Linked DNA regions of Saccharomyces cerevisiae S288C. The main gene of each other region encodes a partner of the protein of the gene in region 3 in a complex. Each region holds a gene or a part of one and is shown on either strand. Other genes may lie near its edges. A codon is read from its position in the direction of its gene.

Evidence for each region.
Region 1: the proteins of RPN5 (region 3) and RPN9 are in contact, whole or in part, in a cryo-EM structure (PDB 5MPE), measured with the Saccharomyces cerevisiae proteins. Residues at the interface, in NP_010134.1 of Saccharomyces cerevisiae: Asn306 (codon at 2,923), Glu307 (codon at 2,926), Leu308 (codon at 2,929), Arg310 (codon at 2,935), Ile353 (codon at 3,064), Tyr356 (codon at 3,073), Tyr357 (codon at 3,076), Ser358 (codon at 3,079), Arg359 (codon at 3,082), Ile360 (codon at 3,085), Thr361 (codon at 3,088), Arg364 (codon at 3,097), Ile399 (codon at 3,202); in NP_010715.3 of Saccharomyces cerevisiae: Asp322 (codon at 2,713), Glu325 (codon at 2,722), His326 (codon at 2,725), Met329 (codon at 2,734), Arg330 (codon at 2,737), Ile332 (codon at 2,743), Ser333 (codon at 2,746), Gly339 (codon at 2,764), Ser340 (codon at 2,767), Ile341 (codon at 2,770), Asp342 (codon at 2,773), Gln343 (codon at 2,776), Val344 (codon at 2,779).
Region 2: the proteins of RPN5 (region 3) and RPN8 are in contact, whole or in part, in a cryo-EM structure (PDB 3J47), measured with the Saccharomyces cerevisiae proteins. Residues at the interface, in NP_010134.1 of Saccharomyces cerevisiae: Ser409 (codon at 3,232), Gln410 (codon at 3,235), Leu411 (codon at 3,238), Leu412 (codon at 3,241), Asn413 (codon at 3,244), Glu414 (codon at 3,247), Trp415 (codon at 3,250), Asn418 (codon at 3,259), Glu421 (codon at 3,268), Leu422 (codon at 3,271), His425 (codon at 3,280), Ile426 (codon at 3,283), Glu427 (codon at 3,286), Thr428 (codon at 3,289), Ile429 (codon at 3,292), Gly430 (codon at 3,295), His431 (codon at 3,298), Leu432 (codon at 3,301), Ile433 (codon at 3,304), Glu436 (codon at 3,313), His440 (codon at 3,325); in NP_014904.3 of Saccharomyces cerevisiae: Gly199 (codon at 2,154), Lys203 (codon at 2,166), Asp206 (codon at 2,175), Glu209 (codon at 2,184), Tyr210 (codon at 2,187), Lys213 (codon at 2,196), Thr224 (codon at 2,229), Ile225 (codon at 2,232), Leu226 (codon at 2,235), Lys228 (codon at 2,241), Leu229 (codon at 2,244), Asp231 (codon at 2,250), Val232 (codon at 2,253), Phe233 (codon at 2,256), Leu235 (codon at 2,262), Leu265 (codon at 2,352), Val267 (codon at 2,358), Lys268 (codon at 2,361), Thr269 (codon at 2,364), Glu272 (codon at 2,373).

The regions. Positions count from the first base shown.
Region 1 is NC_001136.10:1,320,456-1,323,930, forward strand, and holds RPN9 (proteasome regulatory particle lid subunit RPN9), read left to right. Parts: upstream 1-1,749; coding exon 1,750-2,931; downstream 2,932-3,475. Other genes in the region: SNX41 (Snx41p), read left to right, coding at 1-1,486; BNA7 (arylformamidase), read right to left, coding at 2,999-3,475. UniProt on the Saccharomyces cerevisiae protein: Acts as a regulatory subunit of the 26S proteasome which is involved in the ATP-dependent degradation of ubiquitinated proteins.
Region 2 is NC_001147.6:815,257-818,490, reverse strand, and holds RPN8 (proteasome regulatory particle lid subunit RPN8), read left to right. Parts: upstream 1-1,559; coding exon 1,560-2,576; downstream 2,577-3,234. Other genes in the region: GTPase GPN2, read right to left, coding at 156-1,199; GCD1 (translation initiation factor eIF2B subunit gamma), read right to left, coding at 2,771-3,234. UniProt on the Saccharomyces cerevisiae protein: Acts as a regulatory subunit of the 26S proteasome which is involved in the ATP-dependent degradation of ubiquitinated proteins.
Region 3 is NC_001136.10:188,917-192,807, forward strand, and holds RPN5 (proteasome regulatory particle lid subunit RPN5), read left to right. Parts: upstream 1-2,007; coding exon 2,008-3,345; downstream 3,346-3,891. Other genes in the region: snoRNA-binding rRNA-processing protein NOP14, read right to left, coding at 1-1,670; LDB17 (Ldb17p), read left to right, coding at 3,834-3,891. UniProt on the Saccharomyces cerevisiae protein: Acts as a regulatory subunit of the 26S proteasome which is involved in the ATP-dependent degradation of ubiquitinated proteins.

The DNA.
Region 1 (3,475 bases), 1.1 Mb from region 3:
AGATCCATGGGGGAAACACGCTATCGGTTACGTAATTCTATATGAAAACAACAAGATTATCAGAAGGTACTCTGAATTTCATTCTTTGAGGCAATCTCTAACTAGACTCCTTCCTACGATAATTATTCCACCCATTCCATCCAAGCATTCTCTTCTCAAATACATATGGAGTCCCATAAACGCAGCAAATGATTCCAAAATTATCTCCACCAGGAAGAAAATGCTCAATTCATTCTTGTCTAACTGTCTGAACATTCAAGAAATAAGCAACGATATTGTTTTTCAAAAATTTCTAAACCCTGAATTTAATTGGAAAGATGTTTTAAGTTCGTCGCCGATAATCATACTACCTTTGAATAACCTTTTAGCTCCACCTTTAAGCCCAACAAAACCAAGCCCCCTTCATTCTATTTTACCTATTCCATCCAACTCGTCTCTGAGAAACTATAATTCGATTTGGCAACAACACATCACAGTAAAAAGTCATAATGAAATTTCCAACCTCCCAACAGAAATTTTACAAAACGAATCTCAATTTACACATATTGAAAATTTATTCCAAAATTATAAGCGAATAATCACCCATTTATTAAAAAACATAAGATCAAATAAATCTCATTTCCACTCCTTGTCCACGTATTTTGCTGAATTAGGCGCATATTATAATGCTTTTAGTTTGGAAAATGACATAACCATGCCCAACAGCCTTCGCGAATCTGAAAACAATTCAAACAACCCAATGATGGAAATTATTAGTCATATTGAAAAGACAGGCCATTCATTCGATGTTATATACATTTCTTCCGAGATCTTAATAGAAAAGTACACCTCTATTCTTGAGGACCCCATTAATGAGTTATTGCAGTTCTTAAATGAGTCATTCAAAGTTCTAAATTTCAAGAAATTAAAGTTTTTGCAATTTAAAATATTAGAGAGGCTAATTATCGAAAAAGAAACGAAACTTTCGAGTCTCACTGAGATTGAAAACCAACTGCAGAAGATTAATGAAAGTTTAACGCGGTCGACTATATTGACAGATGAAAATTACAAAGATACAAAGGCTGCTGACCTGACATTTGTTAAAAAGGACGTAAGATCGCTATCGAAGTCAAGTTCAAATTCAAGCTCCAGTGGACACCAAAACGAAATTCATATAGGCGCAAGTAAACTAAACTATAAAACGTCTACGCCAACAATGAATCTCAATAAATTAGAAATCAAACAATTGACTGAACAAGAAAGATCTAAACAGATCAAACAGTTGAACCAAGATTTATCCAAATTGAAAGATTGTCTATCAATCTGTATATCAGACATGCTAGAAATTAACAATTCGTCATACAACAGCTTAATGCATACATATAACCATATTAATTTGACCATTGGAAAGATCTTGAAACTTTTCGCAGCTAGCTTCAAAGCATGGATCAAAGAATGTCTGAAGAATTGGAAACTGGCAAAGTTACAAATCGACGAGGCCCTATAAAAAGCATTACCGTCACGCATCGTGTTGCAAATAGCATATACATATATATATATATATATATACATATAACGTATACGTTAGAAAAATTTGAATACACACATTCATTTATCCTATTATTATCATTTTCATTCTTACCCGCTCCCCGCTTTCATCCGGTGGCAAAAGTAAGAACAAATAAAAGCTAGACCTAGATTGAAGAAACTATTAAGTACCAAAAAGCAAACAGTGGGCACACGCGAGGAAACCACATTATATTTCGCAAGATGTTTAATAATCATGAAATTGACACCATATTAAGCACTCTCCGCATGGAGGCAGATCCCTCTTTGCATCCTTTATTCGAACAATTTGAGAAATTTTATGAAGAGAAATTGTGGTTCCAATTGTCCGAATCCTTGACTAAATTTTTTGATGATGCTAAATCTACACCATTGAGGCTCAGATTATATGATAACTTCGTTTCTAAATTTTATGATAAAATCAACCAATTGTCAGTAGTAAAGTATCTACTTGCCTCTTTGAAGGATTCTAAGGATTTCGATGAGTCTTTAAAATATTTGGATGATTTGAAGGCTCAATTTCAAGAATTGGACTCTAAAAAACAAAGAAATAATGGATCAAAAGACCATGGTGATGGTATTTTGTTGATAGATAGCGAAATTGCTAGAACTTACCTGTTAAAGAACGACCTCGTTAAGGCAAGAGATTTATTAGATGATTTGGAAAAGACATTGGATAAAAAGGATTCCATTCCATTAAGGATAACAAACAGCTTCTATTCTACAAATTCCCAGTATTTTAAATTTAAAAATGATTTCAATTCTTTCTACTACACAAGTCTATTATACCTTTCTACCTTAGAACCATCTACAAGCATTACTTTAGCCGAACGTCAACAATTGGCCTATGATTTGAGTATCTCAGCATTGTTAGGTGACAAAATCTATAATTTTGGCGAACTATTACACCATCCAATAATGGAAACTATAGTCAACGATTCCAATTACGATTGGCTTTTCCAATTATTAAATGCTCTAACCGTTGGTGATTTTGATAAATTCGACTCATTGATAAAAGTTCAAATATCAAAGATTCCTATATTGGCTCAACATGAATCATTTTTACGACAAAAAATTTGCCTAATGACATTAATTGAAACAGTTTTTGTCAAAAATATTAGGATGCTTTCATTTGAAGATATTTCAAAGGCTACACACCTACCAAAGGATAATGTCGAACACCTGGTCATGAGAGCCATAAGTTTGGGTCTATTAAAGGGTTCTATTGACCAAGTAAATGAACTCGTTACCATCTCCTGGGTCCAACCAAGAATCATAAGTGGTGACCAAATTACAAAGATGAAGGACAGACTGGTTGAATGGAACGATCAAGTAGAAAAACTGGGCAAAAAAATGGAAGCTCGTGGCCAATCCATCTGGGTTTAGGCCATTGGCAGTTATATATAAAACACACACGCACACATATATATAAATGCAGAAATAAAATCAACTATCAACAAATATTGTCAAAAATATACTTCGCAACTTTACCATTCTTATAAACATCATTATGCAAACCCAAATCGTCCAAATACAACTTGAAACTTAACTGATAATCCTGAAGACAAGAAATTAAACAATTAGTTTGTCTTAACGTTAATAACTCGTCGCTATAAGAATGCACTAGGTGCATATCAATACTGAAGCGAGAAAGGGCTTTCTTCACGTAAGGCATTACTCTCGAGGGCTCTTCCTCGTACATTTGAATACCATCAGGGAAGGCAAGTCTTGTAAAACAATCATACTCTGGGTATTCTACCAACAGTTCCTTTAACGAGTATATACCATCCAATAGAAATACTCTCTTCACGATCTGCAAAAGTCCCAACATTTGCAATTGCGCTTCACTCATTTTTTCTTGAGGATCTTTGAGTGCAGCTAATATCTGCCAAATAAAGGTAGCTCCAACGGAATGTCCCACCATATTAAT
Region 2 (3,234 bases), on a different chromosome or scaffold from region 3:
GGGTTCTGTCCTTTGCAGCTGATTTGCAACTCGGCCAGCAATTCAAGAACATTTCGTAGTAAGCTGCTTTCAATTATATGCATATATACTCTGTATACAATTTTCAATTTTGAATTAAGTTCCACGGCTGAACGAGAAAAAGATACCTGAACACGCTACCTAACAAAATCCATTCCTTGTTTCTCTTCCCACTCCTTCAGCGCATTTTCCCACTCATCTTCTTCATTCACATCAACAGCTTTATTTTGCAATTCTTGTTCTTTTAACAACGCCGTACGTTTTTCTTCTTCTTCTTTATCATACTTCTCTTTATTGTCTATCCACCTGTCTTGAATGTCGTAATTCGCTATTAATGCACCTTCTCGCGAAGCCTCAGCCCACACGGTATCACCACCAACTTCGGATGCGCCGAATATGTAGCCATTTGCTTTATCTATAACACCTTGAAGATTTATCATACTTTCTTTGTCATCCACGGACAAAACCTCAAATGATACTAAGTTGAAATCTGAGACTAGCTCTTTGATTGTTTCAGTTAACTTGCTATATTTCTTTCCCAGTACACTAGAGCCTTCCTTTTCAATATATGGCTCCAAATAATCCAGATCCTGGACCTCTGTATAATAGTCTAATCTAAAGGGTAATTCTCCGTATGATTTCAGCATATCTATTTTAGAAAAAACGTTGATGTGAGGGAGATCCATCATTAACATAGACCTCAATGCAAGTAACAAAATCGAGATATATTGTGAAGGGGATGTCATGTAAAAACAGTCAATCAAATTTACAACACAAAACCTAATGTCCAATTCCTTTTCCATTTTTTTAAAGATGTTGAACAAAGATGAGTGATGAGTAAATAGCTCCACTTGGCCCGGACAGTCGAATACAAGATATGCTTTTTCTTCTTCTACAAGTGACTTGATCTGTAAAATGAACAAATCAATAGAATTATCCAATGATTCAACAGCATACATCAAACCTCCATTAGGGCCTAACTGTTGCTCTTGCATGATCTCCTCTAATGTTATAAAATCACGAATATCCACAGCGCATGGGTAAGGTAAGGCATCATTAGCAGGATCCATATTCACTACCTGGGAATGTCTTCCGATGGCATTGAAGAACTGTGAGCAGCCGTTGCAATAGGTTGACTTCCCTGAACCTGGTGGACCAATAACAATCTGAGCGAAGGGCATTATTGTACTCTCTAGTAGAAAATCAAAACTATTGACACAACAACAATCAAATGAAAACAAACCATTCTATTACGGTAAGTAGTGAAGACTCACAATGCAATCTTTCAATGAGCATCACTTACTTTAAGTAGCAATATTCCTAATCACTTATTACGAAATTTGATTTTACTAAAGTTCGGGGATACCTCAGTGGCAAATCGTTACTCAAGTTGCACGTAACGTAGAATCTACAATGAAATAATTGTGAAGCCAACAGCTAAGCAATCTATAGTGTAACGTTGGCTTTCTGTACAACTGCTACTGATTGAGGGCATTTTTCGAATTTAAAAAAAGAAAGAAAGAAAGGAAAATCAAATTACAATGTCTCTACAACACGAGAAAGTTACCATTGCACCACTAGTTTTGCTATCTGCTTTGGATCATTATGAGCGTACGCAGACAAAAGAAAACAAAAGATGCGTTGGTGTCATCTTAGGTGATGCTAACAGTTCCACTATCAGAGTCACTAATTCCTTTGCCTTACCGTTTGAAGAAGATGAGAAAAACTCTGACGTGTGGTTTTTAGACCATAATTATATTGAAAACATGAATGAAATGTGTAAAAAGATTAATGCCAAGGAAAAACTCATTGGATGGTATCATAGTGGTCCTAAATTAAGGGCTTCTGACCTCAAGATTAATGAGCTGTTTAAAAAATATACTCAGAATAATCCGCTATTATTAATTGTTGATGTCAAACAACAAGGTGTTGGTTTACCAACAGATGCATATGTCGCGATTGAGCAAGTTAAGGATGATGGTACGTCTACAGAAAAGACGTTTCTTCATTTGCCTTGTACTATTGAGGCCGAAGAAGCTGAAGAAATTGGTGTAGAACACTTATTGAGAGACGTACGTGATCAAGCAGCAGGTGGCTTATCTATCCGGTTGACCAACCAATTAAAATCTTTGAAAGGATTACAAAGCAAACTAAAAGACGTTGTCGAGTACTTAGACAAAGTCATTAATAAGGAATTACCGATAAACCACACTATATTGGGCAAGCTACAAGATGTTTTCAACCTTTTACCAAATCTGGGAACACCTGATGATGACGAAATAGATGTGGAGAATCATGACAGAATTAATATTTCAAATAACTTACAAAAGGCTTTAACTGTGAAAACTAATGATGAATTAATGGTTATATATATAAGCAATTTGGTTAGGTCAATTATCGCGTTTGATGATTTGATTGAAAACAAAATTCAAAATAAAAAAATTCAAGAACAAAGAGTAAAGGACAAACAATCAAAAGTCTCTGATGACAGTGAGAGTGAGAGTGGTGACAAAGAAGCAACTGCGCCATTGATCCAACGAAAGAACAAGAAAAATTAATTCAAAAATTAACATAACATAATATATGAAATAGATGTGTAAAACGCTATGTATTAATACAACATGTTAATTTGCTTAAGCATAATTATGTTCTGTTGAATTTCAAATATAAATGCATAATATCGCCTCTATTCTCGTCCACTTACTTACTTGGTCTCTATTAAAGAGACTGAAGGAATATACATAAGTTTATATTAACGCTCAAATAATCCGTCATCTTCGTACTCGTACTCGTCGGTATATTCACTATCATCAGAATCTTCATCGCTTCTATCATCACTGTCAGTTTCTTCGGCGATTTCACTTTCTCCAGCAATAACACTATCATCATATATTAACTCGTCCTCCTCATCTTCATCCAAATAAACGTTGGCCAGTGTTTCACCTTTAAAGTTATTTTTAGGCTCCACAACATAATGGCCTTCGATATAACAATTGCTGAGTTTACACTTTGAACCGATTTTTGCCATAGGTCCAATAATACAATTTTCCAGGATTACTTCGTCACCAAGATGGACTCCAGGAAATAAGAGAGACCCTGCAACACGACATCTGGAACCAATATTGGCCTGAGTACCGAGAACAGACATCTTGACATTACTATGAGCAGAGATTTGGCATTTGGGATCTACTATGGCATCAGCACCGATAGCGGCAG
Region 3 (3,891 bases):
GAAATGCGTTGATATTGTGAAACAATCCTTACCAAGACAGCGCCAAAAGCTATCCTCTTTAAAGAATTAAACTTGATTTGTTCCAGGAACTGGCTCATTAAAATCAATGCTGGAGTTATTACTAAATGGTACTGGTCCGAGGTGGAGAAAAGAATACCAATAATGGAAAAAAATACCAGATCACCATTTGATAGAGCATCAAAATGGTTCTTTTTATAGCGTGCTTGCATTTCATTGATATAATCTCTACACTCCTCGGAAAGCTCTCTATTATATTTCTCTGAAAGGGATTTTAGAATTGAGATCAATGCATTTTGTGTACGTTTAAAACTTTGAACGTTTTTAAGGTAGTTTTGATTGCTTAGAAAAATGATGTGTCTCAGTAAAACAGCGGTGAATTTTCCTAACTTTTCCTTATTACCTTCAGCCAATTTTGGTTGGTAAGCTTTGATAATATTCTTAACAATCTTAGGATGATCATCTAAGTCTAATTTTTTTACTTGATCTAATAACGCATCATGAGTTCTAGGGCATGAAATGGAAATGTTCTTTTTCTTTAAAATTTGAGAAAACCCTTCATCTCTGCCTTGATCTTCAAATTTGATATCATCATCAGAATCAGCAATACCGTCATTATCGTCTTCATAGTCTTCTTCATTTTCCCAGAATCCATCATCCAAATCCTCTACTCCTCTTTCTTCGCCTTCTTCTAATTCAATCATACCGTTCATACGATCAAGACGCTGTTGTTCCAACTCCCGTTTTTTTTCTTCAGCTTCAGCGTTTTTCTCCTCTTCAGTTTTAGTTCTATCAGAGGGTGCAGCTCTTTTGTCCAATTGTAGTTCTTTCACTTTGATATCATACTCCTTATCTAGATCGGTCTTAGGTTCCATTGGATTCTTCTTGGGTTGCGTCATCATCAATTCAGACATAACATCCTCGAAATTATCATCCAGATTATCTATTTGATCTTCCATTATACCTTGAGCCTTTTGTCTTTCTTGTTTGTAAAATTTTGATTTGGCAATGACCTCTTTCATGACTTCAGCTTTGGTTTTTTTTCTTTGAGGTTGCTGTAGCTCAGCATCATCTTCATTGAATCGTTTGGAAGCTAAAAAATCCTCTTCATCATTGGCAAGCTCATCTTCTAGGGACAGCGATTGACCTAAATGTGTAAGACCGTCTCCAAACATGTCACCGTCGTCTTCATCGTCTTCAAGATTGAATAAATTTGCGTTTCTCTTTGATTGGCTTTGTCTTTCTCTGGTGAAACGTTCCAACATTTTTTCTTCTTCCGTCAACAACTTGTCTCTTTCACCAAATCTCTTATCGATCACACCACCACGTTTATTCTTCATCATTTTTCTTGCTTCAAATGCACGCTTTCTTTGTTCTTCACCGATCTGTTTAGAGATACCAGGCTTACCCACAGCAATACGATCAGCAGTTTTAGAAGGCAGACCATCTCTCCTCTTATTCCTTGCAGCCTTTATTTCAAACGGATTAAACTCTTCTCTGATTTCAGCAATGGCCTTTTTTTTTTCTTCACGATCATACTCCTTCGCTTGTCTTTTGGAATTCTTTTTATTCTTACTTTTGACGTTTGTTTGACCTGTGAGTCCACGGGCCTTCAAGGCGGCCTTTAAATTCTTAAGTTGTGAACCGGCCATGTATTTGATCTTCCCTTTTATTTGCTTCTCAACTGTACTATTTACAGTAATAATTAGTGCAACCTTCAGATGCTTCTCGCTAAATGCTCATCTCTAAATTATCATTATTATTCCTAATAAATCCTAAAATTTTTCACTCGTTCTGTACGGCTCATCGCCCCAATATTACCCGTCTTGTATGTGATCTTTTTGACTTTTCGGTGGCAAAATGCAAAGGGGAATCCAAGGAAAAACCATAACAGGACACTACATCAGAGATAATCTTGAATTAAGAGAGTAGAGGAATATACTGCTGGGCTCACTACCATTTTTGTTGCTAGAGTAAACGTAGAGAAAGATGTCAAGAGATGCACCAATTAAGGCTGACAAGGATTATAGCCAAATTTTGAAGGAAGAGTTTCCTAAGATCGATTCGCTCGCTCAAAATGATTGTAACTCTGCTTTAGACCAACTGTTAGTGTTGGAGAAGAAAACCAGACAAGCTTCAGATCTGGCCTCCTCGAAAGAAGTTTTGGCCAAGATTGTAGATCTGCTAGCATCAAGGAATAAGTGGGACGACCTAAATGAGCAATTGACTCTACTCTCAAAAAAGCATGGTCAGTTGAAATTGTCAATTCAGTATATGATACAAAAGGTTATGGAATATTTGAAAAGCTCGAAATCTTTGGATTTAAACACCAGAATTAGTGTCATTGAAACTATCAGGGTGGTTACAGAGAACAAAATATTTGTAGAAGTGGAAAGAGCTAGGGTCACCAAAGATTTGGTGGAAATTAAGAAAGAAGAGGGTAAGATTGATGAAGCTGCAGACATCTTGTGTGAGTTACAGGTTGAGACCTATGGCTCCATGGAAATGTCTGAGAAAATTCAGTTTATATTAGAGCAAATGGAATTGAGTATATTAAAAGGTGATTATTCCCAAGCCACGGTGCTTTCAAGAAAAATTCTGAAAAAAACTTTTAAAAATCCAAAATACGAGTCATTGAAGCTAGAATATTATAATCTTCTGGTAAAAATTAGTTTGCACAAGAGAGAATACCTAGAAGTTGCGCAGTATCTGCAAGAAATTTATCAAACAGACGCCATTAAATCAGATGAGGCTAAGTGGAAACCTGTTTTATCGCACATTGTATATTTCTTAGTCCTTTCACCTTACGGCAATTTACAAAATGATTTAATTCACAAAATCCAGAATGATAACAACCTGAAAAAATTAGAAAGCCAAGAATCTTTAGTAAAATTGTTTACTACGAATGAGTTGATGAGATGGCCAATTGTTCAAAAAACCTATGAGCCCGTCTTAAATGAGGATGATTTGGCATTTGGTGGAGAAGCTAATAAGCATCACTGGGAAGATTTACAAAAAAGGGTCATCGAGCACAATTTAAGAGTCATTTCCGAATACTATTCCAGAATTACTTTACTAAGATTGAATGAATTGCTGGACCTAACGGAGAGCCAGACGGAAACATACATCAGTGATTTGGTAAACCAGGGCATCATATACGCTAAAGTTAATCGCCCAGCCAAAATCGTGAATTTTGAAAAACCAAAAAACTCAAGCCAATTATTGAACGAATGGTCACATAATGTTGACGAACTATTAGAACATATAGAAACAATAGGCCATTTAATTACAAAAGAGGAAATCATGCACGGTTTGCAAGCTAAATGAAGAGATTTTCGAGTAAGTGTCGGATTATCTCAGATCCGGTTTTGATTTTAAATCTGTTACTAATCGAAATGTGTATTTACGTACGTGAGATAAAATTATCTATGCATATATATAACTCAAATGGAAAATGGCCACGTATTGCTCTCATTCTCTTCACTTGCTTACACAAAACATAAGGTGACAATTAATGGAATTTTAGTTTTTCAATTTTTCAGGGGAAAGAAGACACCCAAAAAAAAAGTGAAAAGTCAAAACGGTAAACTGTTTATGGTATTTAAATGACATTAATAGCAGCGTAAAGAGTCATTTTTTCGTTTGATTAGCAAAACTCTGAACATTAATTACTACACCTATAGACATATCTTTAAACAGTGAAATATTTTTTTCATTTAGTAAACAAGAATTAAACTTTGAATATTTTTTTTTCGATTAACTTATGTCACTTTAGCCTATACTTTCTTCGAACATTTTTCCTTTCATTTTGACTCATGATATTAGATCCATTATCTCCAAATATTGAAAATCATACTCAAGATGAAATAATTG